7 linked regions of the Mus musculus genome follow. The protein of the gene in region 4 purifies or fractionates together with the protein of the main gene of each other region. This does not show direct contact. Links are inferred from orthologs where the notes say so. Each region holds a gene or a part of one and is shown on either strand. Other genes may lie near its edges.

The links.
Region 1: the proteins of Mms19 (region 4) and Ciao2b purify together in Homo sapiens (affinity purification with western blotting; 11 studies listed by BioGRID and IntAct, counting the BioPlex papers as one, with this or other methods). This does not show direct contact. The link is inferred for Mus musculus from reciprocal best matches to the Homo sapiens genes MMS19 and CIAO2B.
Region 2: the proteins of Mms19 (region 4) and Cdkal1 purify together in Homo sapiens (affinity purification with mass spectrometry; 4 studies listed by BioGRID and IntAct, counting the BioPlex papers as one, with this or other methods). This does not show direct contact. The link is inferred for Mus musculus from reciprocal best matches to the Homo sapiens genes MMS19 and CDKAL1.
Region 3: the proteins of Mms19 (region 4) and Prim1 purify together in Homo sapiens (affinity purification with western blotting; 3 studies listed by BioGRID and IntAct, with this or other methods). This does not show direct contact. The link is inferred for Mus musculus from reciprocal best matches to the Homo sapiens genes MMS19 and PRIM1.
Region 5: the proteins of Mms19 (region 4) and Prim2 purify together in Homo sapiens (affinity purification with western blotting; 5 studies listed by BioGRID and IntAct, with this or other methods). This does not show direct contact. The link is inferred for Mus musculus from reciprocal best matches to the Homo sapiens genes MMS19 and PRIM2.
Region 6: the proteins of Mms19 (region 4) and Brip1 purify together in Homo sapiens (affinity purification with western blotting; 3 studies listed by BioGRID and IntAct, with this or other methods). This does not show direct contact. The link is inferred for Mus musculus from reciprocal best matches to the Homo sapiens genes MMS19 and BRIP1.
Region 7: the proteins of Mms19 (region 4) and Rtel1 purify together in Homo sapiens (affinity purification with western blotting; 4 studies listed by BioGRID and IntAct, with this or other methods). This does not show direct contact. The link is inferred for Mus musculus from reciprocal best matches to the Homo sapiens genes MMS19 and RTEL1.

Annotation. Positions count from the first base shown.
Region 1 is NC_000074.6:104,639,339-104,643,090, forward strand, and holds Ciao2b (cytosolic iron-sulfur assembly component 2B), read right to left. Parts: upstream 2,391-3,752; 5' UTR 2,353-2,390; coding exon 2,211-2,352; intron 2,053-2,210; coding exon 1,973-2,052; intron 1,756-1,972; coding exon 1,630-1,755; intron 1,228-1,629; coding exon 1,182-1,227; intron 749-1,181; coding exon 651-748; 3' UTR 501-650; downstream 1-500.
Region 2 is NC_000079.6:29,324,801-29,327,673, forward strand, and holds the end of Cdkal1 (threonylcarbamoyladenosine tRNA methylthiotransferase), read right to left. Parts: intron 1,429-2,873; coding exon 1,237-1,428; 3' UTR 501-1,236; downstream 1-500. UniProt on the Homo sapiens protein: Catalyzes the methylthiolation of N6-threonylcarbamoyladenosine (t(6)A), leading to the formation of 2-methylthio-N6-threonylcarbamoyladenosine (ms(2)t(6)A) at position 37 in tRNAs that read codons beginning with adenine.
Region 3 is NC_000076.6:128,021,715-128,025,214, reverse strand, and holds part of Prim1 (DNA primase small subunit), read right to left. Parts: coding exon 3,484-3,500; intron 2,353-3,483; coding exon 2,243-2,352; intron 1,633-2,242; coding exon 1,541-1,632; intron 1,435-1,540; coding exon 1,296-1,434; intron 1-1,295. UniProt on the Homo sapiens protein: Catalytic subunit of the DNA primase complex and component of the DNA polymerase alpha complex (also known as the alpha DNA polymerase-primase complex - primosome/replisome) which play an essential role in the initiation of DNA synthesis.
Region 4 is NC_000085.6:41,978,337-41,982,518, forward strand, and holds the start of Mms19 (MMS19 nucleotide excision repair protein homolog), read right to left. Parts: upstream 2,801-4,182; 5' UTR 2,778-2,800; coding exon 2,663-2,777; intron 1-2,662. Other genes in the region: Ubtd1 (ubiquitin domain-containing protein 1), read left to right, coding at 3,603-3,672. UniProt on the Homo sapiens protein: Key component of the cytosolic iron-sulfur protein assembly (CIA) complex, a multiprotein complex that mediates the incorporation of iron-sulfur cluster into apoproteins specifically involved in DNA metabolism and genomic integrity.
Region 5 is NC_000067.6:33,481,295-33,484,794, forward strand, and holds part of Prim2 (DNA primase large subunit), read right to left. Parts: coding exon 3,388-3,500; intron 1,321-3,387; exon of another isoform or gene 795-1,320; intron 118-794; exon of another isoform or gene 108-117; intron 1-107. UniProt on the Homo sapiens protein: Regulatory subunit of the DNA primase complex and component of the DNA polymerase alpha complex (also known as the alpha DNA polymerase-primase complex) which play an essential role in the initiation of DNA synthesis.
Region 6 is NC_000077.6:86,142,194-86,145,693, forward strand, and holds part of Brip1 (Fanconi anemia group J protein homolog), read right to left. Parts: intron 1,219-3,500; coding exon 1,064-1,218; intron 1-1,063. UniProt on the Homo sapiens protein: DNA-dependent ATPase and 5'-3' DNA helicase required for the maintenance of chromosomal stability. Acts late in the Fanconi anemia pathway, after FANCD2 ubiquitination.
Region 7 is NC_000068.7:181,353,920-181,357,116, reverse strand, and holds the end of Rtel1 (regulator of telomere elongation helicase 1), read right to left. Parts: intron 3,141-3,197; coding exon 2,942-3,140; intron 2,765-2,941; coding exon 2,675-2,764; intron 2,109-2,674; coding exon 1,992-2,108; intron 1,808-1,991; coding exon 1,565-1,807; intron 1,467-1,564; coding exon 1,305-1,466; intron 1,220-1,304; coding exon of another isoform or gene 1,194-1,219; coding exon 1,027-1,193; 3' UTR 960-1,026; coding exon of another isoform or gene 859-959; 3' UTR 760-858; coding exon of another isoform or gene 679-759; 3' UTR 501-678; downstream 1-500. UniProt on the Homo sapiens protein: A probable ATP-dependent DNA helicase implicated in telomere-length regulation, DNA repair and the maintenance of genomic stability. Acts as an anti-recombinase to counteract toxic recombination and limit crossover during meiosis.

The sequences.
Region 1 (3,752 bases), on a different chromosome or scaffold from region 4:
TCTGAAACATTGGAAAGGCTAAACAAATTTTTAAAAATTATTATTATTTTTTGAGACAGGGTCTCCCTATAACTGCCTTGGCTGTCCTGGAACTCTCTATGTAGACCAAGCTGTTGTCAAAATCATAGATGTGCTTGCCTCAGTCTCCTGAGTGCTGGGACTAAAAAGTTTGTACCACTATATACAGCTTGCTGATTTACTTTATATGTATGAGTATTTGCCTATACATGTGTGTATCACATGTGTTCCTGGTGCCTTTGGAGGCAAGAAGAGAATGTAAGATCCTCTGGAACTGAAGTTACAGATGGTTGTAACTTGGGCGCTGGGAACCTAACCCAGATCTTAAGAGCAGTAAGTGTTTTTAACTGTTGAGCCATTTTTCCAGCCCCACTGGGAGTTATCAGAAGCAATGAGGGCACCTCATGGACCCACCCTTCATAGGTCCCCACCCCACTCTACTACAACCGAAAATGAGTCCACTATGAGAGACGCTAAGGCATACTGGGAAATGAATATAAATTAAGGGTTTATTACAAAATAAAAAGTGTTAAGTTTCTCCTTGTCAGTGATTCAAGAAAACAAAGCCATGAGCCCTTGGTGGAGCTGAGGCCAGGACAACCTGAGTGCAGGCTGGGGGTCCAAAGCCAGGCTCACGAGCGGGCGGATAAACACTGATTAACAACCTCAAGCAGGTGTGTATTCTCCAGGGCAGCTGCCACTCGCTCCTTATCTGCAAGTTGTTTGTTCACTGGGTAGGAAAAGAAGGGTGGAAAAACAGGATTAAAGCAAACTTGGGCCAGGTTGCTAGCCTCAGTATACATTATATTTCTACCAATAAAGTTCTTTTCTGATAGTCTCAGGACTCCAAGCCTGGATCAGGCTATATGCATCACCTGTACCCATAACTAGCTTCATCATTTGGAATGCCCGTCACCACCAGGGACTGCTTATGTCTGCCTCCCTCCAGTGTTTCCTGAAGCCCGACCCAATGTCCCTGTGTACTTGAGGACCACAGGAGGGTGGGTCATGGGAAGCAGGAGATTTCAGTCAGGCCAGCTTTGGTCTAAGCTGTAGTATGGCCATTTTATTCACTTAGTCCCCTGGTCCTAATCTTGCCCCCACAGATGACTGTGGCAAAGGGGAAGCCTCACCTAGTTTGGGGCCCAGCAGTCCACACTAACCTGCATGCTCGGAGGCGTGGGTCCCGGGTGTAATGTGTACATCCATCTGCAGGAAAGACAATGTGGGCCCGAGCATTTACCCGCCTGTCCTTTTCTTTTGGACACTACCTCCCAACCATCTGAACTCCCAGTCACCCCTCTTGATTCTGGCTCTTCCAAGCCACCCCAAACCCACCTGCAGTCAGTCAATCCACTTTTACCCTAGGACCTAGTCAGCGACTATTGACTTTAAAAGCCTTCCAGTGCCTCGATCGATCACGCCCATTCACAGCTCCCAGCTGCCCTTTCCACCACACTCCTATTTTCTGGAGTTTTTTCCCCCCAATATTCTTGTCACATCAACTTGGGGGTTCAACTCTGCGAGTTCGGATCCTTCCGATCTCCGCCCGATGTCCCCTCGCCCGCCCCAGTAGTTTGTTTCACCCTCGGGGGCTTGACTCCAACTGACCTTGAACCGCTGGGGAAGGGATCGCAGCAGCTTGACTTTGATGGAGAGGCCAATAAGCGTGGCCATGCTGCAGTGTGGGATGGTGGGTGTGAAGGCCACTGCTACTGTGCTCTCTGGGTCGCTAACCTGCGATGACAAGGGAGATCAGATCGCAGTGATCGCACGGCGGCCCCTAGCCCAAAGACACTCTTTAGTTTATCGATTTGGGCAAGTCACCCAACTTTTTATCGGCTCCATAAACATTAACACACCTCCCACAGATCCTCTTGGGGGCTTGTGAACGGAGAACACCAGCCTCTGAGGTACAACGGTACCTTTTTGATTACTCGAGTAAACTACTCACCTGAATCCGAACTTGCTCTACTACGTTCAATTCCTCCAGTGTCAGTGGATGCTCCGGGTCATTAATGGAGCGGATAAGATGTGCCAAGTGAAGGAAAAGGGACTCTAAGTTTTGGCCCACTCAAAATCTCCGCAGGCAACGCCTAACCGGGACACCCCTCCACCAGCGGGCTGCGCATCACTTCTTGCCGACACCCCAAGCCCCCACCGTCCCGCCAGCGCCCTGCAGCGACGGATATCGAAGATCTCCCGGGCGTCGATGCTGTCCGGCACTTCCTCATCTTCCTCGCCCGCCGTCACTGGCCGCTCCCCGGAACGCTCATAGATGAGGGGGTTAGCGTTCTCTAAGAGCCCGCCGCCGCTACCGCCGCCGCCCACCATCCCGGAACCGCGGTTCCCACAATCCCCCGGTGGTGTGTACTTCCGCTCCTTCCGCGCACTTCCTGGGAACGAGGAGAGGGCGTGGTGTGGCTACGGGGTCGTGCAAGGGACACGCCACACTCCAGGGATTCGGCGAGTAGTTTGCTAGAAGCGGTGTATTTGTCGTGCGGGCTACTCCGAAAGCGGGAAAAATGTTGGTAGCTCTCGCCGGGGCGTCCCTTCGGTTCTTAGCCGTGGGATCCTGTTGGGAGCTGGATCGCAGGAAGCCAACACCGTCTGACAAGGGCACTAAAGGCTCCTTGTGATTGGGCCTTGGGACGCTCCAGCTCGCTGTCACGCTATCGTAGAACCGTAGATCTAATGACACGCTGGTTTCCTCTAGTAGGAATCGGCAGCACTAGTTACATGCTTGTTAAGTAGATACGCGATCCTAAACTCTCACCTCAGAGCATCCTAATGTAGACCGTGGTGACCTCTAGGCCACTTGAATCTGATCTGCCCTGAGAAGGCAGCACTTAATTTATCCTATAACCCCTCCCTACCAGACTGTCTCCTTTGCTGTCAGCCAGGCTATGGAGGCCACGAATGCCTTAGCAGGCAGAAATATCATTCTTGGCATGGGTGATGTCATGTCCAGCTTGTCTAAAGAATGGGAAATTGCACATATAATTCCCACAGTCTTTTTCGTAACTCAGGAGAGGCAGGGTTGGTGGAAGACAGACTTGTGCCATTGGGACCAGCACACGTGGCCCATGGCTGACTGCTCGCAGGACTGAATGATGGCAGCAGGTCCAGAGGTCCCTCAGTGAGCCTGGATGGATAAGCTGGGGTCTTGTAGTGGGTAAAAACAGTGTTTGAAAACAAAGAGTACTTTGACAAGGCTGACCTAAAGGTCACAAGGAGGTAGCAACACCCACAGTGCGGCGCCCGCTGATAGAACAGACTCAACTTTGATGCCATCTGTACATTTCCAGTCCCATCATGACCAGTCACATGGGGAAATCTCTTTCATTTGAGTGGTATTGATGTGGGTGTCCACGCCTTCCTGCTAGTTCCCTTCGCCAAGCTGCCTCTAGGGATGCTGTGGTTTATACCCCTGGGCCACCTAAACTGTGTAAAGGATGGGACCTCTGATCCAGCAATGTAAGTTCTCCTGGGGCCAAGGGGACTTAAGGGACCTCTGAGCTCTGGGTCAGGCTGCAGCAGTTTTTCCATCTCAACCCCACTGGGATTTCCAGCACTGTCGGGAAGATTCTCACATTCATTAAAATTTTAACTACATTTGAGAAGAGGGCACATGCCACAATGTGTTAAGTGGAGGTCAGAGGACAAGTTTCAGGAGGGGTTCTCTCTTCTAGTGTATGGTTTCCAGGGATAGAACGCAGGTCATCTTCAGTCAT
Region 2 (2,873 bases), on a different chromosome or scaffold from region 4:
TAAAAAACCACATGCAGACTTGCTTGGCCTCAAAGGAAAAGCCGTAGAACTACACTGAATGGGGGGAGGCAAGGTGGAGAGGCCACTGAAAGCCACGCCTGCTTTAGCCACACTCAGACCTGTCCCTGAGAGCTGTGTTTCCACACCCTCTCAATGGCTCAAATGTAGACTGGGACAGTCTTCTCTCCTCCCTTCCTCTAGCAGGAGGTAAAAGGAATGAACAAGCTAGATTTCCAGCCATTGCTATCCCCTGTGCAAGCTAGTCACCAATGTTACGTTAGTAATGAGTGTCCACATGTGAGTGTTTGCATATGCACATTTCCCCCAACTAATGACACTATATTTTGGGATGGAGATTTTAGGGGACAGATGTAACGAAGTGCTGACAGAGGGTATGGGTCTAGAGATGAAAATATTCCTTAGGTATTTAAAGGCATTTACTTGGTTTTCCTTCACCTACCCAATCCAAATAACTCATTTAAAGTCCAATAAACACAGTGTTTTCTTATTGTACCAATTCTGTTTATTGTGAAAGAAGTCATTTCATTTAGTAAAGACGGCTGGTGGTGTTGGGTCAAAATGATAAATGTAACATGCCTGGTCGGTGTGTCAGGAAAGGATCATGGTTTGTTTGAAAGTTTGTGGGTGCCACAGGCATGGAATCTTCACATTTTCTAGAACGCCAGGAAGAGTCCTTTAAGTGGTGGACTTGGGTCCAAGTTCTCAAAATAGGTTTCTATATAAACTTTTTAGGAACACATCTGCTGTGAAAAAGATGTTTGTAGCACGGGGACTCCAAACACAGCCGGGAGAATGTTTATTAAGGGCTGGATGTTCTTCCACACAAGGAAAGGATGGCCAGAGCCACGAATAGGCAGAGCCTCTGTGCACTTAGGCTGGGATTCAATGACTGGAGACAAAAAAAAAAAAAAACAAAACAAAAAACAAAAAAAAAACAAAACAAAACAAAAAAAACCAAAAACCAACCAAAAAACCCAACCACTTGTATTTGTTGTTAGGAAGAAGTCTGAAGGAGTTTGATGAGAAAGACATGTTCAGAAGCTGTGATCTGGTCTGAGGTCAGATGGCTCAGCTCAGTGTGAGGGCATTCAGAAGAGATCCAGACAAGGCAGTGTGTCTAGTTCAGAAGGCAGTCTCTTGAAAACTGGTGTTGATGTCCTCTTGTTTGTTGACCACTTGAATTAGAAACTTATTCCTTATGGAGGCTTTACTTAGTTACATTGTAAGCAAAGAGTCTGGCCAGAAATGCAAAAGGAGAGCGAGGAGAGCCAGGCCTGTAGCCACCTTCAGTGCGCAGTCATACTGGGACATCTGCAGCACCATTCTGGAATACGCAGAGCCATGCTGAGTTGCAGGACAGGTGTCTGAAGTTCCGTTTGGATGATTCCCAAGCCTATTTCTGAATTCCTATAAAGACAGAAAAGAAAAACAATGTTCAGGAAAAAAAAAATTCCTGCAGCTGTATCAGCCATAGCTCCTTTCACTATAGAAACATCTGGATGCCTGCAGGGTCTAGGTAACCCCATGGTTGGAATGGACAAGTCTGTTTCTTTTTTCCATGATTAGAACACAGTCATGTTTTTTGTTTTGTTTTTAGACTCCATGGGAGACATTTTGTTCATCAAACACACTCTTGAAGGCAGATAATACAAGATGCTCTGCCGTAGGAAGGCTGAGCCCACCTCCAGGGAGGCCTAACAGGGGTCTGAGTGACCAGAGGGCCCCAGTCCAGTGTTCCCTCCGTTTGCCTTGGTGTGCCAGACAGGGAAGCCTGGAGAACACGGCTGGAGGAGAGTGCAGGTGAGTGAGCACCACGGCCTGCTCTCGAGGAGGCATCCACTGAGCAAGGCTTCTAGTCTGCCTGAGCTGAAGGGGGGCATGCTACTCCCACGGCAGCTTTAGTATTTCAAAGCACCTGCTGGCTCCGTTAGATAAGATGGTTCACATTATACAGCTCCTGTCAAAACAATGCCCCCATACGGCATGACCATCCCTGCTAGAGCCAACAGGATGTGGAGATGGGACGATCAGAGGCCATGAAGGAGAGGCTCAGCAGAGGCAGCGTGGCACAGTTGTCCTTGAGGCCATAGGATTCTCTTGTGCCTCCCTGAGCACTCTGACAATCCTGAACACCTCTGTTTCCTGTGTGGAAGCGGCTGCTATCCTGCTGCTGACTGGTCTGAATAAGAGCTCAGGCCCTACACTGCTGCTGTGAAGGCAGAGCTGTCTTCAATGGTGGTCTTTATTTTGTATTATTTTAATTAATAATAAAGAGTCTCATTACAGGAGCAGAAAGAGTGCAGTGAATACCCTGGGCCGAAAGCTGCCTAGATCAGGCCTGGCTGAAATGGCAGTGTCCCCATTCCTGCTCCCCTGGCCTGCTCTATGTTCAAACTCACTAAGCTCAGTCAAACGGCAGAGACCACACTATACTATGGTGCTCCGTGAGAACCAAAACCCACATAACAAACCGGCACCCAGAGATACCGTTAGGAGAGAGCTGCTGACTGAGAAGATGCTCAGCCAACACTCACAGTCACCTAATCTACAGGATGAGCACATTTAAATGCAGAAACACAAGGTAGCATGGCTTCTCCAAACAAGGACTAGATGCCAGGGAAACTGAAATGGAAGAAAGGCGTGCCAGACAAACACCATGGACTAAGAAGTGCCCTGGGGCCTGGTATAAGACGAGTAGAAAGATCAGAGAGGACAGAAATGAAACTCCCAGGGAGACAGTGCGAAAGGAAAGTCTGGGGAGCTAGTCTGACCTCCAGGACCCACAGGGGAGAAGGGGAGAAAGGCACTTCTAAGTTCTCTGTCTCCCACACGTGTGGCGTGGCACACCCACA
Region 3 (3,500 bases), on a different chromosome or scaffold from region 4:
GATGTAAGCAATAAAGCTTTTGCCGCAGAAGATTCCGGTTTGTTGTGTTCTTCCTGGCCGGTTGCGAGAACGCGTGTAAGATCCTTCATCCACTGAGCCATCTCAGCAGTCCCACAAAATATTTTGAAAATACAGTCATGTGGCCATAGGGATATTTTTGGTCAAATGATGGACTGCACAGACAATGATATCCAACAACAAGCAGCTTATTTTATATAAAAATATACTGTGATATCTGCTTGGTAATAAATAAATGATATTTTGCTAAAGGTAATGTTAAGTTGGTAGGTAGCATGATCTTATAAATCTACCTCTGAGGCGATACAGAAAATGCGTATCTAGAAGCCGGGCGTGGTGGCGCACGCCTTTAGTCCCAGCACTGGGGAGGCAGAGGCAGGCGGATTTCTGAGTTCGAGGCCAGCCTGGTCTACAGAGTGAGTTCCAGGACAGCCAGGGCTATACAGAGAAACCTTGTCTCGAAAAACCAAAAAAAAAAAAAAAAAAAAAATGCGTATCTAGGAGCTGAGGATACAATGATTCCTTTTGAAGTGGGTCCCACCATAGAATCCAGGCTGGCTTGGAACTTGCTGTGTAGCCGGGGATGACTCTGACCTTCCTGTCATCTCCCAGGTTTCTAACTCTCTTGCTTCTCTACCTTCTGAGTGCTGTGATCACAAATGTGTAAAATCTCGGATCCAGGCTTCAGTTTTCTTTCTTTCTTTCTTTCTTTCTTTCTTTCTTTCTTTCTTTCTTTCTTTCTTTCTTCTTTTTTCCTTTTTTTGAGACAAGATTCCCAGATAGCTGAGGCTGGCCTCAAGCTCCACATTGCATTACAGATCCTCCCATTTCCTCCTCCTAATTAGCGGGATTGTAGGCCTGTGCCATCACACACAGTTTTATGATTGCTGGGGATGGAGCCCAGGGCTTTGGCTATGCCAGGCAAACACTCTGCAAACTGAGCTCCATCCCTAACCCCAAAACCTTTATCTGGTAGCAGTTCTCCCGGGAGCTCCTTAACTGACAAGGGGAACATTGTCAAGGTAGACAGTAGCCAACAGGTCGACTCTTCAACATTTCACCTCATAGACATGTATTCACAACCAATGACATCCTTGCTAACACATACTGATCCAGTCGGGGTGGCACTCGCCTTTAATTCCAGCACTTGGGGGCAGAGACGGGCAGATCTCTGAGTGAGGCTTGATCTGCACATTGAGTCCCACGCCAGCTACACTGAGAGACAAGACAAGACAGGTGTTTTTCCTTCAGTTTTCCTGACTTTGTTTGCACTGTACCTGTCTTGGGATGAACACTGAAAGGGCTCTTCAGTAAGTGATTGACTCCCTTGCTGACGTTGACATCCAGGCGTGGGAAACAGTACTGGAGCATGACCTCCCACTCCAGCCAGGGGCCGCACTTATCGTTCTTCATATTCTAAAAGCAGATGTGAGAGAGACCGCCATGAGGATCAGAGGGAACACAGACGGTCATAACTCGGTCAGGAGCTGTGTTGGTAAACACGGGGCCCAGGGGTGGATACCTGAGATGAGTTGGCCACTTTCCTCAGGTGTTCCCAGCGCTGAGGTGAACTGTGGAACTTCTGGAACCCTCTTTGCAGCTCATCATGAATTGGTGATGCTTCATTAAGGAGCATGGTCACTTGGGATACCTCAATGAGTAAGTCTTTAGTACATATTATTACAAGAAGGTTGACGCTTCACACATTCAGAAACTATTAATGATCCCTGAGACACACGTGCTCAGCACTTACAGCATTAAAAGTTTCCCTGTGCAACTATAGTAGTGATCTGGCAGAAATGCTAACGTAATTAGAAAGTACTTAAGCCATCATATCTAGATGAAATGATTCCCCATTCTTAACCACTAATTCTAGGAACAACTTGTAAGATGATGAAACTGTTCTACAGAATGGCCCCATTTCTTACTGTAGCCCAGTGATACAAAAATGTAGACATGTATAATGTCACAGAGACTATGCAGACAGCACACATGTATAATGTCACAGAGACTATGCAGACAGTACACATGAATAATGACACAGAGACTATGCAGACAGTACACATGAATAATGACACAGTGACAAGGTAAATGCACACATCTATAATGTCCCAGAGACTATGTAAACACACACATGTATAATGTCCCAGAGACTATGTAAACGCACACATCTATGTCACAGACCGACACAACTGGCTTACATAGTAACCGCAGGAAAGGATATTCTCAGGAACAAGGGCTAAAATCTTATCCCAGTTTTCTTTATTTTCAAGAATATCTTGGCCGACTAAGGCATATTCCTCAAAGTACTTTTTAATTATGTTTATAGATTTTCTGTAGGAATGACAGTAACAACAGCATTAGCAAGACACAGGGTACACAGGCACTCTCCTACTAGGTGAGGTCACTATTTTTTTCTGACTTTCTAGAACTAGATAAATGGAATGAGACCCTTTTGTTAGTTGAGTTAAAACTAGACACTTAAAATGGAAATAGCCTAGCATGTACCTGTCATAAGTATTTGGGAAATGTTTGGTTCTTTTTTTTTTTTAATGTTTTATGAGACAGGGTTTCTCTGTGTAGCCCTGGCTGTCCTGGAACTCACTTTGTAGACCAGGCTGGCCTCAAACTCAGAGATCCGCCTGCCTCTACCTCCGGAGTGCTGGGATTAAAGGCATGTGCCACCACGCCTGGCTAAAATGTTTGGTTCTTAAAGTTATTTTATTTTGAGACAGGGTCTCACTGTGCAAGTCTGGATGGCTTGTGACTCACTACGTAGATCAGGCTGACCTCTGTAGAGATCTGCCTGCCTCTGCTTCCCTGGTATTGGGATTAAATAAAGGCGTGTGCCACACCATGCCTGGCCTAAATGATTACTTCTTAAATCCTGTAATCTATAATGTTACTAACATCACAGGTCATGCAAAGTGGTAGAAATCCAGGTAGGGTTCCAGGACAGCCAGGGCTGTGCAGAGAAATCCTGTCTTGAACTGTCCCCACTTCCCTGAGTCTGCAGTTTGCAAATGCCTGTGTCATTTGTTTTTGCTACCACCTTGGAGTCAGGTGGAGCACAAACGGTCCCCACATCACTCACATAGGAGGTGCCTCCATCATTTATGGAGGTCACAGGGTGAAACCGGGGTGGGAAACAGCACAGATGCTAGAACTGAGTAGACCAGGACCTGTGTGCTAGATGCTGACAATTGCTTGTGTGATGTCAAGTGAACCATACAATTCTCTAAAACCCACTTCTCTTGTCTTTAAGTGGAAGTACTGTCATGTTTCTCTTGAAGTCCTGAAGGTTACTGAGCATGACAGTAGAGACTGGAACAGGGCCAAAGTCGGGGGCTATCAGCTGCAACTGTTACTGGAAACACTACTTGGTGGTGAAAACTGGCAGCAAGAAGCATGTCTACAAGCACAAGTGGCAAATCAGAGGCCCTCAGGGGGTCTTTCCCAACAGACCTGACAAAAGGGTGAAC
Region 4 (4,182 bases):
GGGTTATATATAATCCGGCTCCATCAACCCATTCAACCTTACTGGCTACTATTCCTTTGTACCAACCTTCCTTTTGTTAAGAGGAATAAATTACAATAGGGTTCACTTACACAGGTACTACAGAGTAGATTTTAAACCATACATGCACTGGCTAGTTTTGTGTCAACCTGACACAAGCTAGAGTCATCACTGAGGAAGGAGCATCCGTTGAGGAAATGCCTCCATGAGATCCAGCTGTAAAGCATTTTCTCAATTAGTGATCAATGAGGGAGGACCCATCCCATTCTGGGTGGTACCATCCCTGAGCTAGTGGTCCTGGCTCCCGTAAGAAAGCAGGCTGAGCAAGCCACAGGGAACAAACCAGTAAGCAGCACCCTCCATGGCCTCTGCATCAGCTCTTGCTTCCAGGTTTGAGTTCCTGTCCTGAATTCCTCCAATGATTGACTGTGATCTCCGAGTACAAGCCAAATAAACCCTTTCCTCCCCAACTTGCTTTCTGGTCATGGAGTTTAGTCATAGCAATAGAAACACTAAAACAAGATGATAGTTCAGGCTCCCTTTTTTGACATAACAAAAAAAGGTATTTTATGAAAAAATAAGAAGGCAGTTATTTAAGCTGTCTTTTAAAGATGTGTTATGCATCCATAAAATCCAAAATTATTATTCCCAGAGTGCACAAATGTGGAAGAACAATTACAGATAACATTAATATAGTAACATCTATCTTGGTATGGGGGTGGGTTTAAGTATATCTAAGCTTCTGTGAAAACAACGGTCCTGATATATAGTTCACCGGATCTAAAGTTTACCCCCCAAACAAACCAAAAGCAAACACTAGTCAATGAGGAGCTCGATAAAGAAGTTAGAGATTAATGTATTGATCTCTGCAGTTTAAATGGGTAGGTTTGTGACAATTCAAATTAAAGAAAAAAATGTTAGTGATAGGCTCTAAGTAGTGAGTCTATGATCTTTAAAAAAAAATTTAAGTTGGGCAGGGGTAGTGCATGCCCGTCATCCCAGCATTTGGGAGGGGGATTTAGATCTTTGAGTCCAAGACCAGCCTGGTCTACAGAGTTTCAGGATAGCCAGGGCAACACAGAGAGAGCCTGTCTCAAAAGACAATACACAAACAGATAAATAACTAAAAATTAAAATTCTTTAGATTTTGTTAAATGCTGTGAAATCTCCATAGTAAAATCTGGGGGGAAATGGCATTGATAATAACCCATAACAGACTATACTTGATTAAGTTGTAAAATGTTATAAGCTTAAGTGCAAGTACCAGGGGCTTTATTTTCTTTCTGAGATTGGGGCTCACACTGTAGCTGAGGCTGGCCTAGAACTCACTAGCAAACTTGCCACCCCCCTGCCAAATCCTGGAACTAAAGGAATGCACTACCAAGCCCAGCCAATAGCAGGCATTTTTGCCCCTTGATGCTCTGGAACCATATATTTACCTCTTACAACACAGTTCTTTCTCTCACTAATTATAATAGTTTGATGGCCATAGATAGTATCTTATTTGTATTTCTGTCCTCAATTCTTTTCATGCTGGGTAAAAAATACGTGCTCAGAAATAATAGAATGGCAGAGAATGTGGACTATTGCTAAGGACCAACATATATTTCTAGCAGTTCATTTCTCACATATTCTAAAAATTAATCTGTTCAATTTGCTAAAGAAACTTCTTCACCCATAAACTTCCAAACATAATTTTTAAAAACCCGCATCTATATCCATTTTTTATTCTATTTCTTAAACCCGACACTGAAGGCCTAACATTCAACATTCAGAAAGAATTCTAAAGAGGCACCCTGGATTTGTTCAAATCCTGGATAAACTCGGAACTGAGAGATTCCTGAAATTGGAACTCTGGGAAGAAGGATAAAAAAATGGGACATTAAAAAGTTATAAATCTAATTTATCAAAAAGCCTATTTGGGGCTGGAGAGATAGCTCAACAATTAAGAGGACAGACTGCTCTTGAAGAGGTCCTGAGTTTAATTCCCAGCAACCATATGATGGCTCACAATCATCTATAATGGGATCCGATGTCCTCTCCTGGTGTGTCTGACAGCGTACTCACATACTATATATATATATATATTCTTTTTTTTAAAGCCTACTAAGACACATAAGTGAATCTTTAAAGACACTAGTCATCTACACGCCCACCGACCTAGAGCCAGACTGGCTCCTCCCCTCCTCCATCCAATTACAACCACTCAAACAGCTGGAGCGCACGCTACTTCCAGGAAGGCAAGAGGCCGGAGCGTAACCCTTGGAACCCAGACCTTCTCACCTAACACTCCGCAAACAACGCGGTCCTGCGGTGCAAGCACCAGGTTTGGACCAGAACACCCGAGTCCAAGTCCCAGCTCCACTTCCGGACTCGTCTGTGCCTTGCACAAGTCTATTACTCTCGGAGAAATGTAATGATTCTCTATGGACCACAGCGAGATGCGGAATGTAAAGAAAGCTTTAAGGAAGATGCAAGCGACTCTCCAACTTGTTAGGGCAGTAGCGCTCCCAGCGGGGGCAGAGCGGCCAGAGGACCAATCACAATCACCTCTCCCTTCACTCCCTTCCCGCCGCGCGCGGGTGCTGAGGCCGCTCCCTGCGGTCCGGCCCCTGCAGAAGCCTCGCGGCGTTGTTTGCCATACCTGCAGCCACCTGGTCAGCGGGCCCCTCCTGTTGACCCATGACGAAGTCTTGCACGAGGCCACACAGGGCGCCCATAGGCGCCACTGCCTCCTCCAGACCGGTGGCGGCAGCCATGACGCTAGCCAGAGATTGTGGGAGGGGGAAGTGGGTGTGGCTACGAGATGTGTCTCTCCGCGCACGCGCCTCCATGGCCAATAGTTGGGCGCAGACTTCAGGGGCGGGGCACCTCCAGGTCACGTGCCTGCCGGCTCTGGGCCAGGCAGTCCCTTCAGGGACCTAACGGCCCCTCCCCAGAGGGCGGGGCCTGGGCCGGGGCGCGGCTCCGGGAGGGGAAGTGACTGCCGGGCACGCAGCCGGGGCGGTTGAGGGCGCATAATTCCCGGCCGCTCTCCCCGGGAGACGGGCGACAGGGCGGGCACCTGGCTGGGTGGGGCCGAGGGGCGGTACGCATCCTGGGAAAAGCCAATGAGAAAACCAGACCCGGCCCGAGGGGCGGTGCCGTCGGTCACATGCGCACCTGGGGCGGCTGGCGACCGTGGCGCGGCCACCCCAAGCGGGAGGAAGGGAGCGGGGCCGGGCCGGGGCGGGGTTAGGCAGGTGAGTGACAGGCTCCGGGGGGCCGGCCCCAGCTGGGAGCTCGGAGTGATCCTGGAGTAGCTGCGGCGGTGTCCGCCCCCTCCCTCCGCCCCTCCAGCCGGGCTGGTCTCTGGCCGGGCACTGTCGCGGGCCCCCCTGGCCTGGCCACCTCCCTCTCCGCTGGCCCGCAAAGTTTGTGGCGAAGCCGGCGTCGGGCAGAGCGCTCCCCAGGGGAGATCCAGGAGCTCTCGATGTCGGGCTGCGGGAGTCGTTGACCCGGGGACGCCGCGGTTCGGGGCAGCAGCGTGGAGCAGCCGGCCGACCGCCGCCTCTGGTGCATGGGGGACCGGCTGAGAAGCCAGCATGGGCAACTGCGTGGGGAGACAGCGCCGGGAGAGGCCGGCTGCTCCGGGACACCCCCGCAAGCGAGCAGGTAACGCCAGGAAAGGCAGCGGGGTCCCGGCGCGCTGCCAGTTGGCCCTTGCCTTGCCCGAACCTTGGGGTTCCCGAGCGACCTCGCTCGGCGCCGGGCGCTTGGGTTCCCCCACGGCTTCTCGGAGCCAGACGGGGCCCTCCCCGGCGCGGGCTGTCTGGGAAGCGAGTTGGGGTAACTGCGAGCGCTGACCCGGCCGGGAGGCCAACTCGCTCCCACCGGGAAGCTGGGGATGGGGGCGGGGGCAGGAAATGTTTCCAGACCGCGACGAGGCTGGCGGAGGGGGCCAAGCGAGTGCGCCGCGGATCTGGCAGCCCCGGCCAGGGTCGGCCGGCGGCCGGCCGGGGCGCGGCGTGGGCAGCCTGCGTCCCCAGAAGTCGGAGCGATCGAGGCGAACACAGTCGCTCATTCCAGCGAGTCACTGTGTCATTATCGGGCTGCAGGTCGTTGTCTGCGGGAATCCGACTTGTAAAAAGCAGTGCAGGACCATGGAAAATAGAAATCTTTATT
Region 5 (3,500 bases), on a different chromosome or scaffold from region 4:
TCCTTTATTCAGATTTAAACAAATACACTTTAGTACAGGAAACATTTTGAGAAAACATATGATACATAGTAAAGACTCTGGCATTCCACAAGGCTGACTGGATACAAATGGAACACAGTAAGTTATTTAAATTAAAAACCAGAGAGATGAAGTGGTGAGGTGAGGAGGGGTGGGTCTGGGAGGAGTTAGGGGAGTGGTGAGGATGAATATGATCAAAGAGTGGGAATACATGTATGAAATTCTCAAAGAATACAAATATCTTACTGGATTTTTAAAAAGAGCCTATTTTTGCAGCATCTGGGTTTGAAATATAGAAAAAAAAACCCAATGAGAAAGAAGCAATGGTAATTATTGGTTGTTTCCATTAATTAATAATAATTAATTTACAATAATTAAAGAAGAATTAAGGTGTATTAGAGAGAGAGAGAGAGAGAGAGAGAGAGAGAGACTGAACAGTGTCACCCAAATTATACTTGACAAGGTGAACTGACCCACGCAAGAGTCCTGAAAGACAACGCCAGGAGGAAACTGAAGGAAACTCAAGGAAGGTTCTTTTCCCAATATGCTCACTCAGAACTCAGAGGAAGTAAGCCAGTACTTAGCCAGGCTGGTGTCACTTTTACAGATAACATTCCCTGTTCCTACTCTTCACTTCAAAGAGAATGATCTTCGGGCTGAACAAACAAGATAATAAAAGACAGGTGAACACACCCACAGCTAACAACAGTGTTAAAAGAGTAGAGTGATCTTTCTGATGCTTCGTGGGTGGAGATGGCATAGGTGGTGATCTACAGTGCAGATCTTTGGGAAGACCATCACGCTAGAGGTTGAACCCTCGGACACTAAAGAAAATGTAAAGGCCAAGACCCAGGACATTCCTCCTGATCAGCAGAGGCTGACCTCCGCTGGAAGATGGCCGGACTTTGTCCGAGTACAACATTCAAAAGGAGTCCACCCTTCATCTGGTGTTGAGACTTCGTGGTGGTGCTAAGAGAAGGAAGAAGTCTTACACCACTCCCAAGAAGAACAAGCATAAGAGGAAGAAGGTTAAGTTGGATGTGCTGAAATACTATAAGGTGGATGAAAATGGCAAAATTTGCCTACTTCGTCGAGAGTGTCCTTCTGATGAATGTGGTGCTGGAGTTTTCATAAGAAGCCACTTTGACAGGCATTACTGTGGCAAGTGTTGTCTGACTTACTGTTTCAACAAACCAGAAAACAAGTAGTTGTGCATGAGTTAATAAAAAGAAGGAACTCAAACAAACAAACAAAAGTGCAGAATGATACAGCTGTAAGAGACGATAGGCCAGAATACAGTTAGACTTACATAGATTCATAACTGGTTCTTCAACTATTCTAAGCAGCATTAGGTGATGAAGTCGAAGCAATGTAGGTGGCTGATAATTTTATTAATAAGAAAACAAAAGAGGACACATGTCCAGTTTCTGACTGAGCATATACTGAGGTCAGATGTCACTTCTCTATCCTAAATAAAGAAAAAATACCCTATTTCCCTGAAAAAAAAAATCAGTAACAAAGAAACAGGGTCTCAAGGTCTATTTGAGGTAAGTGCAGAGATTCGCAACTGACAGAAGATGAAACTCCTGAGCAGAACTCCATCACAGCCAGTGCCCTGGGCAGAGCCAACTGGCTGATCTGTGATTGAAGTTTCAGCATAAACACATCTCAGAGTAGCTCAAGAGATGACATTAGGACAGCTTAATACTTCTCTGAGTTTTACATCCAGAAAATCTATCATCTCACAGTGTTTACCATATAGATAATATAAATGGATACGTAAACCAGGCTTCTATAGAGGGACAGGAAAAGTAGTTCCATTAGAACATTCTGTTCCCCAGAGAACGCCATCTGAACAGAGTCCTTGCCCAGTCTCCTGCAACCTGACATTCTTGGGGAAGAGCATCTCAAGCCTATTTCAAGGAGAGAAAACCTGCAAAGCACTGGAGAGGCTCAATGTGAAGATGCCAAGCAGGCAGTAGACGTAAAATAGCAGGGTTGCTGATGAAGAGACCAGGCTTAGAACACTGTGATTCATATGCTAGAGAATGAAGGGCAGCTTGCAAGAACAGGTGTTGGAGTCAGCGGACAGACACAAGTCCTAAGCAGTTTTAAGAGCTACAGATTCAAAACACTATAGAAATTAAGAACTGGTTTCCTGCCTGATGCCTCCGAGATGCACCTCTTACTAGTATACATATGGTGACGCCCATGATGGAAAACATCTATCAAGCAAACAGAAATGGAAAACCAGCTAACTCTGCTCCTCTGGTTTCAAGGCCAGAAGTAGTCAAAAGAGATGAAGTCACCGCATATTAACAAGATACAGCTGTGAATATATGTGCACCAAATGTTGAGGCTCCCAATTTCTTAAAACAAACATTGATAAACACAAAAGGACATATAGGCCATAATAAAATAATTCTGATTCCCCCACTTTCATCTCTAAATAGATCACCTAGCCCAAAAACCAACAATGAAGCTTCAGATTAAACTGCATTATACTCAAATGCACATAACATATCTATAAAATATGCCATCCAGAGAAACAGGACAAATATTACAAGCAGCAGTCATGGAACCCACTCGAAAACAGACCACATACCATGCCACATCTATTTATAGCAACTTGATTCACCTATCAAGCAAACAGAAACGGAGGGGAGGGGAGGGGAGGGGAGGGGAGGGGAGGGAAATTCTAAAAATATTGTTTATGATTGCCCAATTTTTAACAGCTTAACGGTATGTTCTTTTCATGGTGGTTTCATTTAAGATTCTAAAACAAAACAAAATACTGACATCTGGTTACAGCAAGCTTTGGCAATCTAGAAAGGTTACTAATATAAACTATTAATCATTCCCTGACATACCAGACAAAATGGGAAGCTTTTAAAGATGTGCTGGTTGAATTATTTTAGAAAATACGTTTTTGAACTGAAAAACGTGTGTGTGTGTGTGTGTGTGTGTGTGTGTGTGTACACAACTTAGGCAAACTGGCATACACCCTTGACACCGGGGCTTTGTTAAACTGCTTACTTAATCTGTTACTCAGATGACAGTAGTAAGACAAACAATACACTGTGCCTCAGCACAAGGCCTTTTGAACATCAACAAAATGTGTTATTGTGAAACTAGGGCTTCCACACCTCTCACAGCTTTAAAACACCTCTATCCCAAGCTCCTTGCAGAACACAAGACAAGAACAGAGGAGGAAAGGAAACCTACTCCAGCAGAAGCCAAGCACAAGCTGAGTGAGCTCAGCAATAAGACAAACTACTGTCAGAGTAATGGGGCTCCAACTAGACACAGACAAGCTAGGTCCTTCACTAATGCAAACAGCACTCACCAGCATCCATCACAAGCACTTACCATGATAATCCCCTTGGCCTGGTGGGTTGGTCAGGATAATCTTCATGCAACTGAAAGGCGTATAGTCTGTCCTCTTGCCTTCCTTTCCGAAGCTATGCCGGATATTGTAAGAG
Region 6 (3,500 bases), on a different chromosome or scaffold from region 4:
TGGAGGACTACAAGCTAATTAAGTGCACTTACTAACTGATTTCAATATTTATTTTCATTAATGAGAAAAAGACACATTTCAATTGATCCACGTCTCTGTCAATAACAATCTATACATACATACATACATATATATATGTTACAGATATATATCTGTAACATTTAAGATTTCCCTACTAAGTTAAAAACAACACTCATCTAGCTAATTTTTAAAAAATTCATTTATGTTCTCTATAAGCTCTCACCTTTCTTACTCTCATCTCTAGCCCTCCTTCTCTCTCTCCCTTCCCCACTCCCTCCACATGGCCATGGCCAGCCTCTCTCTCCCTCTTTTTACCTTCTCTCTTCATCTCTGCCTTTCTACAATAAAGCTCTAAAACCATAACAAAATTTTTTTCATTTATTACTGTGTGCACGTGTACTACAGTATGCATGTGTGCACGTGTACTACAGTATGCACGTGGCGGTCAGAAGACAGCCTGTGGAACTTGTTCTCTCCTTCCACTTTTATGTAGCTCTGGGGATGGAACTCTGGTTGCCATCTTATATTAAAAAAAAAAAAAACACCTTTGCCTGCTGAGACATCTTACTGACTGTACTGGCTAGTTTTGTGTCAACTTGACACAGGCTGGAGTTATCACAGAGAAAGGAGCTTCAGTTGGGGAAATGCCTCCATGAGATCCAGCTGTAAGGCATTTTTCTCAATTAGTGATCTAGGGGGGAGGTCCCCTTGTCAGTGGTACCAGCTCTGGGCTGGTAGTCTTGGTTCTATAAGAGAGCAGGCTGAGCAAGCCAGGGGAAGCAAGCCAGTAAGGAACATCCCTCCATGGCCTCTACATCAGCTCCTGCTTCCTGACCTGCTTGAGTTCCAGTTCTGACTTCCTTTAGTGATGAACAGCAATGTGGAAGTGTAAGCCGAATAAACCCTTTCCTCCCCGACTTGGTTCTTGGTCATGATGTTTTGTCCAGGAATAGAAACCCTGACTAAGACACTGACCAAAGGCTAAAAACACAACAACAACAACAACAACAACATCAACAACATCCCAACAAAACAGGCTTACCTGCTATTTTCTCTAAAGAGATAGTCAAGCACCATAAAGAGTCCTTTGAGCACGACTTGAGTTGATGCACTGATAATAGGGATTTGTATTGCCTCCTCTTTACCATGGATTGGTGTGACTTTCTCTTCTTTTTGAAGAACAGCTGAGAGATGCCTCTGTAAGAAATTACCGTATCATTCATTAAGTGGGTAGAGGGTTGACAGAAGGAAAATCCTTTGCAAAGTATTAATACAAACCAAAATGAAGCAGGTATTCATGAACGCAAAAACTCAAATCGCTTTGCATTTCTGGTCTTGCCTCTTTACCTATCACAGTAGTTAGGATGGAACTCCAGGGCTTTCTGCTTTTCTGTAACTGACCTACCCAAGCCCAGCAATGGAGTTTGGATTTCCATGTTAACAAATATTCCTCTGAGCCAGACACTTTAATAAAGACATTTAGGAGAATAACTTCTTCAGGCAACTAGCATGCTCTTTAGTACCTTTCAGAAGCAATGAACTAAAATTTAAAAGTACCAATGGATTTGAATAAAGTTTTTTTTTCCCTAAATGCCTGAATTATATATAGGAAGTAAGTCTGGTAATGAGGCTATCATATGATAAACATATTTTACTAATATTCATTTTTCTTGCTATTATTTTGGTAGATGAACCCAGGTCTTCAAGAACAGTAGTAAGAGCAGGGCATGGTATTGAGAGCCTTTCATCCCAGCACCCAGGAGACAGAGGCAGGTGGATTTCTATGAATTCGAAGCCAGCCTGGTTTATAGCCAAGACTACACAGAAAAACTTTCTCAAAAACAAAACTGACTAACAACAAAAAGACTACTACTAGGCAGGGACTCTAATGAGCCACACCCAGACCTGATAAGTAAAATTTAAATAGTTTAGAGAAACAATAAAAAAGGAAATAAAACTAAGACCAGAGGCATTGAAGAGTTAAGCATAGACTGCTATTAGTGACCCAAGAATTCCTCAACATACAAATCTTTCCATGAGGAAAAGTAAGGATATGGTTAGTGATGAAAGTTTAGGTTAATCGGGGTATCTAGCAAGTTCAAGGCCAGACTATAATACATAAGACCTTATCTACAAAACTGAAAACAAAAACATATACAATACTATTAAGTCTTAAGAAAAAAGAAAAGAAAAGAAACAAGGCTGGAGGAGAACCCAGGTTTAGTTTCCAGCACTCATGTGGCAGCTCACAACTGTCTGTAACTCGTTTCAGGGGGATCCGAAGCCTTCTTCTTGCCTCCATGGGTACACACACACACACACACACACACACATACACACATACATATATACATATATACATACATAAATAAATCTTAAATAACAAAAAAAGAATCCTCCTTGAAATCCCTCTTCTAGGTTTAGCCCATTAAATGTAGACCTTACCTCACACCAAGAAAACTTCTCTTTGCAACAGTCAGAGACCATCACAGAAAACCACAATGAATCAAAAGGCAGAGTTATGGAGCCCAATCCCAAAGGATACATCTACAAGGTAACTCTTGCACCTAAGTCAGGGATCACTGTAGAAGACAATGGGTATGTGGAAAGACTATAAAACTGGAGAAACAAAAATTTGCTGTGAGATTTTGTGTGCTAGGCCATACCCATAAAGTCTCACCAACATGAAGGCCTAAACAAGAACTGAACAAGGATAATAGGCATGCTAATGTAGAAGGACAGGGCAGAAGGCCTCAATCCTACACAAAGAACTGTGGAAAATGAGAATAGTCTTCCAAGGAGGAGGGCACCAATCGTTTATCCAACACCAATTTCAGACACAGATGCAGACGCAGATTCACACTTGTGCACACGCACACCCTACATGCAAGAAACTTAACTACATATTGCTACAGGGAAGATTTATATATAGTATGATTCCAATCACAAGGCATTCTAGAAAAGACAAAGCCATAGAGTCAGCAAGGAGATGAGTGCTTGTCTGGGTTTCAGGAGTGTCAAAGGGTACAGGAGGAATGAAGAAGTACAATATAGAGGATGTTTTAGGACAGCAAATCTATTCTGTATGATGCCTTAATGGTGGGTGACTAGGCAAATCCTAGTTGAACTAAACAACATGGGGACTAAGCTGTCAGAAAAACCATGGCCTTTGGGTGACAATAACACACTAATGCTGATTCATGAACTATAAGAAGTATATTCTATGACTCTATTTATTGTCACGGAGGACAGTGGCGATGAGTAAAATTGTACCCCACGTTCTCAGGGTGGGCCCAAGGTTAAACAAACACCTTTTGCAGAGAAGAGTGTCTGGGAAGAGAAGTTTACTGGTTAAGCCTCTAGGCCTTTAGGTACCTCATTAAAATGGAGATCTGTCTTGAGGCTAAGTGACCTCACATCCTCTACCTGTGGAGGTGTTTGGGGCATTTCGGCCTGATAGTCACAAACCTATGGAGAGC
Region 7 (3,197 bases), on a different chromosome or scaffold from region 4:
AGATCCCCCTACAATCCCAAGCTCCCGTAGTCTCACCACATGCAAGCACAAGGTGAGCAAAGCATACATTCTAGGCAGAAGCCTACGTGTGTTAAGTAGCCTAGGCAGCAGCAACAAGCGATTGTGGGTGGTGTGGTATGCTCATGCTCCCTGTGGATGAGCTGACACTGCAGTAGGAGCTGTGTTCTAGAGGGTTAAGCTACAGAATTGTGCATAGTTGGTGTGGGGACACAATGGTGTCTAGCTGATGAAAGGGGCAATACAGGGGATGGATGGAGGGAAGCTCCTTATTGGCTTAAAGCTAACTGGTATGGAGAATGCTGCAAGTCTGGAAAAGATCTTAACAGACCTTTATCCTCCCACATATTTTTTAAAAAAGGTGTCTTTCTGTAGCTTTGGCTGCCCTGGAACTACAGGAGATCCTGTTTTTGCAGGGATTGATAGTGTGCCACACTTGGCACTGCCATGACACACAGTTTAAGACCACAATACAGACACCATCCTGATAACTTAGTTTTATTGGACAGCCTACACCTTCAGTGGTACATGTGCAATGCCAATATAGGCTATTTGAGGTTTCAGAACTTCACAAGTAGATTCAGATCTCATTGGACAGCCAAGCATGAGACCTGCAGTGGGTTTAACCACATCAGGGCAAGCAAAGGGCTCCATCTGTCTTCACTGGGGCTTCGGCCAGATGACCTGTGTAATGCTCTGCTTCCTGTTAACAGCACCACAAGCCGGACACAGTCTAGAGGCCTGTGGAGATACCTGCTAGGCACTGAAGCTTGGCATTGCTCCCTTAGCCCCCACCACCTGGAGAGATGCCTGATGGGCTGGAGAGGGTTAGACCCCAACCTGGAGTTGAAGTTTCCAACAGGCCCAACAGCGGTAGAAGTCACAGGAGGGGCACTGGAAAAGCACTGTATCCTCAGTTGCACAGGCCGGGCATACAAATTCTGTTGCAGGAGGTCTAAGTGAGCACACTGTTCAGTGCCCTACCATAACCAACATTCACTGTAGCCCCTATTGCTTACTCCGATGAGGCTTCATAAGCTCATGGGGTAGTCTAGGAGGAAGTTGCATGGGCTTTGGGGTGGTATCATCAGACCTCACACTCTCATCTGGCCTCTGTCTAAAGAAGGATGAGATCTTACTCTGGGTCTTCTCAGGTTTCTTGGACATCGAGGGCCCTAAAGATAGCAACGAGTGCGAGAAACTTATGGGCTTCCTGTTAGCCCCCGGTGCAGTGGACTCAGGGTAACAAACAGGGCAAGGGTAGGAGTCTTCCAGTGGGCCCTCACCTGGTTTCAGGTCCTCATGGGTAAGCTCAGGAGGCACAGTTGGGCTCTCATCTCTGGGACCTTCGAGCTCCAAGTCCTTGCCTGTGGTAGGCAGGCCCATTAGGTCTGCACAGGTCTGTAGGAACTGAGGCTTATGATGCCGACGCACAAACATGCCAAATCCTGTGGGGAAACTTCTGCTCAAGCTCTGCACATACTTCTCACAGACAGCCTTCACCACCCTTCCCAGAACCTATGCCCTACACCCAAGGATTACATACTCTGTAGCAAGGGTAAGTGTTCAGGTTTTGCAGTGGTCAGTGCTGCCACCACAGCCACCACCTTGTCCAGGTCATCATCCTGTTTGTATGCCCTCAGAGCTGCCGTAAGCTGGTTGCAGCTTGCAGATCCCAGAGCCTTGTGGACATCAGATAGGTAGTCACTCACAGCAGGCTGGCCAGGTTTTTCTACTGCACATCCCACTTTTGTACAATGGCTGGTGTGTCCTGGTTTGGAAAAATGAGCTGGAAGGGTGAGAGGTGTGTAGTGGGTGTCAAATGGCTTGGGACGTTCCCCACCACCACTTCTTTCCAGGAATCTCTGTAGAGTCTGCTAGCTGCTCAGGACAAATAGATTTAAGAACCAAGCAGTCCAGCCTGCCTCTTCAAGGATTTTTAAGTCCACTGGGGGTTATTAGGAGCCAGGTACCTTTGGAGGTTGGATGGGCAGACAGGTGAGGCTGCCCCTGGTTCAGGTGCTGTCCAGGATCCAGCTGCCTGTCTACACCTTCAGACAAGGTCAGTTTAGACTCCAGCTCTCTCTTTCCTGAAGAGACATGCTCCTAAGATTAGGCCTTATAATCCTCACACAGGAAAGGGGACCCTGACATCAGACCCACCTGACTGTCTTAAGAGGGCCCAATGAGTCCTGCTCAGGGGCATACGTACCTACACCTCAATGAGTACTGAGCCCAAAGGGTAAGTTTTCCCTCTGCCATGCCTGCGTGCATCAAGCACTGGAACAAGTACTGCTCTGTGGATAAATAAATCCCCTCTCCCACACCTGCCCTCCATAAAGCACTGCAGCAGTAGAGGGGCCAGCTCAGCTGCTCAGGCAGGAGAGAAGTAGGACAGGTGCCAAGCCTCTAGCATGAATTCCCTAGGGGAGGTCTCTTGGATGCCTAAAAGTTCAACAAAAAGTGCTACCCTTTGCAGACAGAATCTGGGAGAATATTGGTTAAAGTAGCTAAGCAAGAGCCCAGGGATGCCTACTAAGCCCATTTCCAGTGTAAACTGCCCTTCAAGTCTGAGGTTAAGCGTCTAGCCTGGGACCTTGCTCACTGGTAAAGTCCACAGTTGACTGTGCTTGCTCTCCAAAAGGAAAGTTGTTACCTGGCTGGTAGCCACATCGTTGGCCTGTTAGCTGGAAGCAGATGTCCTCAAACTGCTGCTTGTGGTGGGGTCGAACAAACTGGTAGAAACCTGTGGGAAGTAGTTGTCTGAGCCATATACTGTGACTGATGGACCAGACTCTGTGGACCATGGCCTACCTACTAGGCCTTTTCTCTGAGAATCAGAGTCAACCCTGGGCCCTATAAGAAGCCCCACCTCCACTGCTGTAGTGTTAACCTGATAGCAGAATTTTGAAAACCAGGGCACCTTTAAGCAGGGTGTGTTTCTTGGGGTCTTCAGCAAAGAGACAGGTGAGAGAGGCCACTAGGGCTTCAAAGTCATCAGAACTCTTATAGTGCTGCAGGGCCTGGGTAAAGGTGTCAAAGTTAGCTTGGCTCAGTGCTTGCTTCACAGCCACCATGAACATCTTGGCTCTGCCTGCCTGTGTGCCAGCCATTGGTTCCTCCTGGAAGAAATATGATCAAGAGCCCTATCAGAGCCAGCCCTTTCCTCCTTCCTTGGA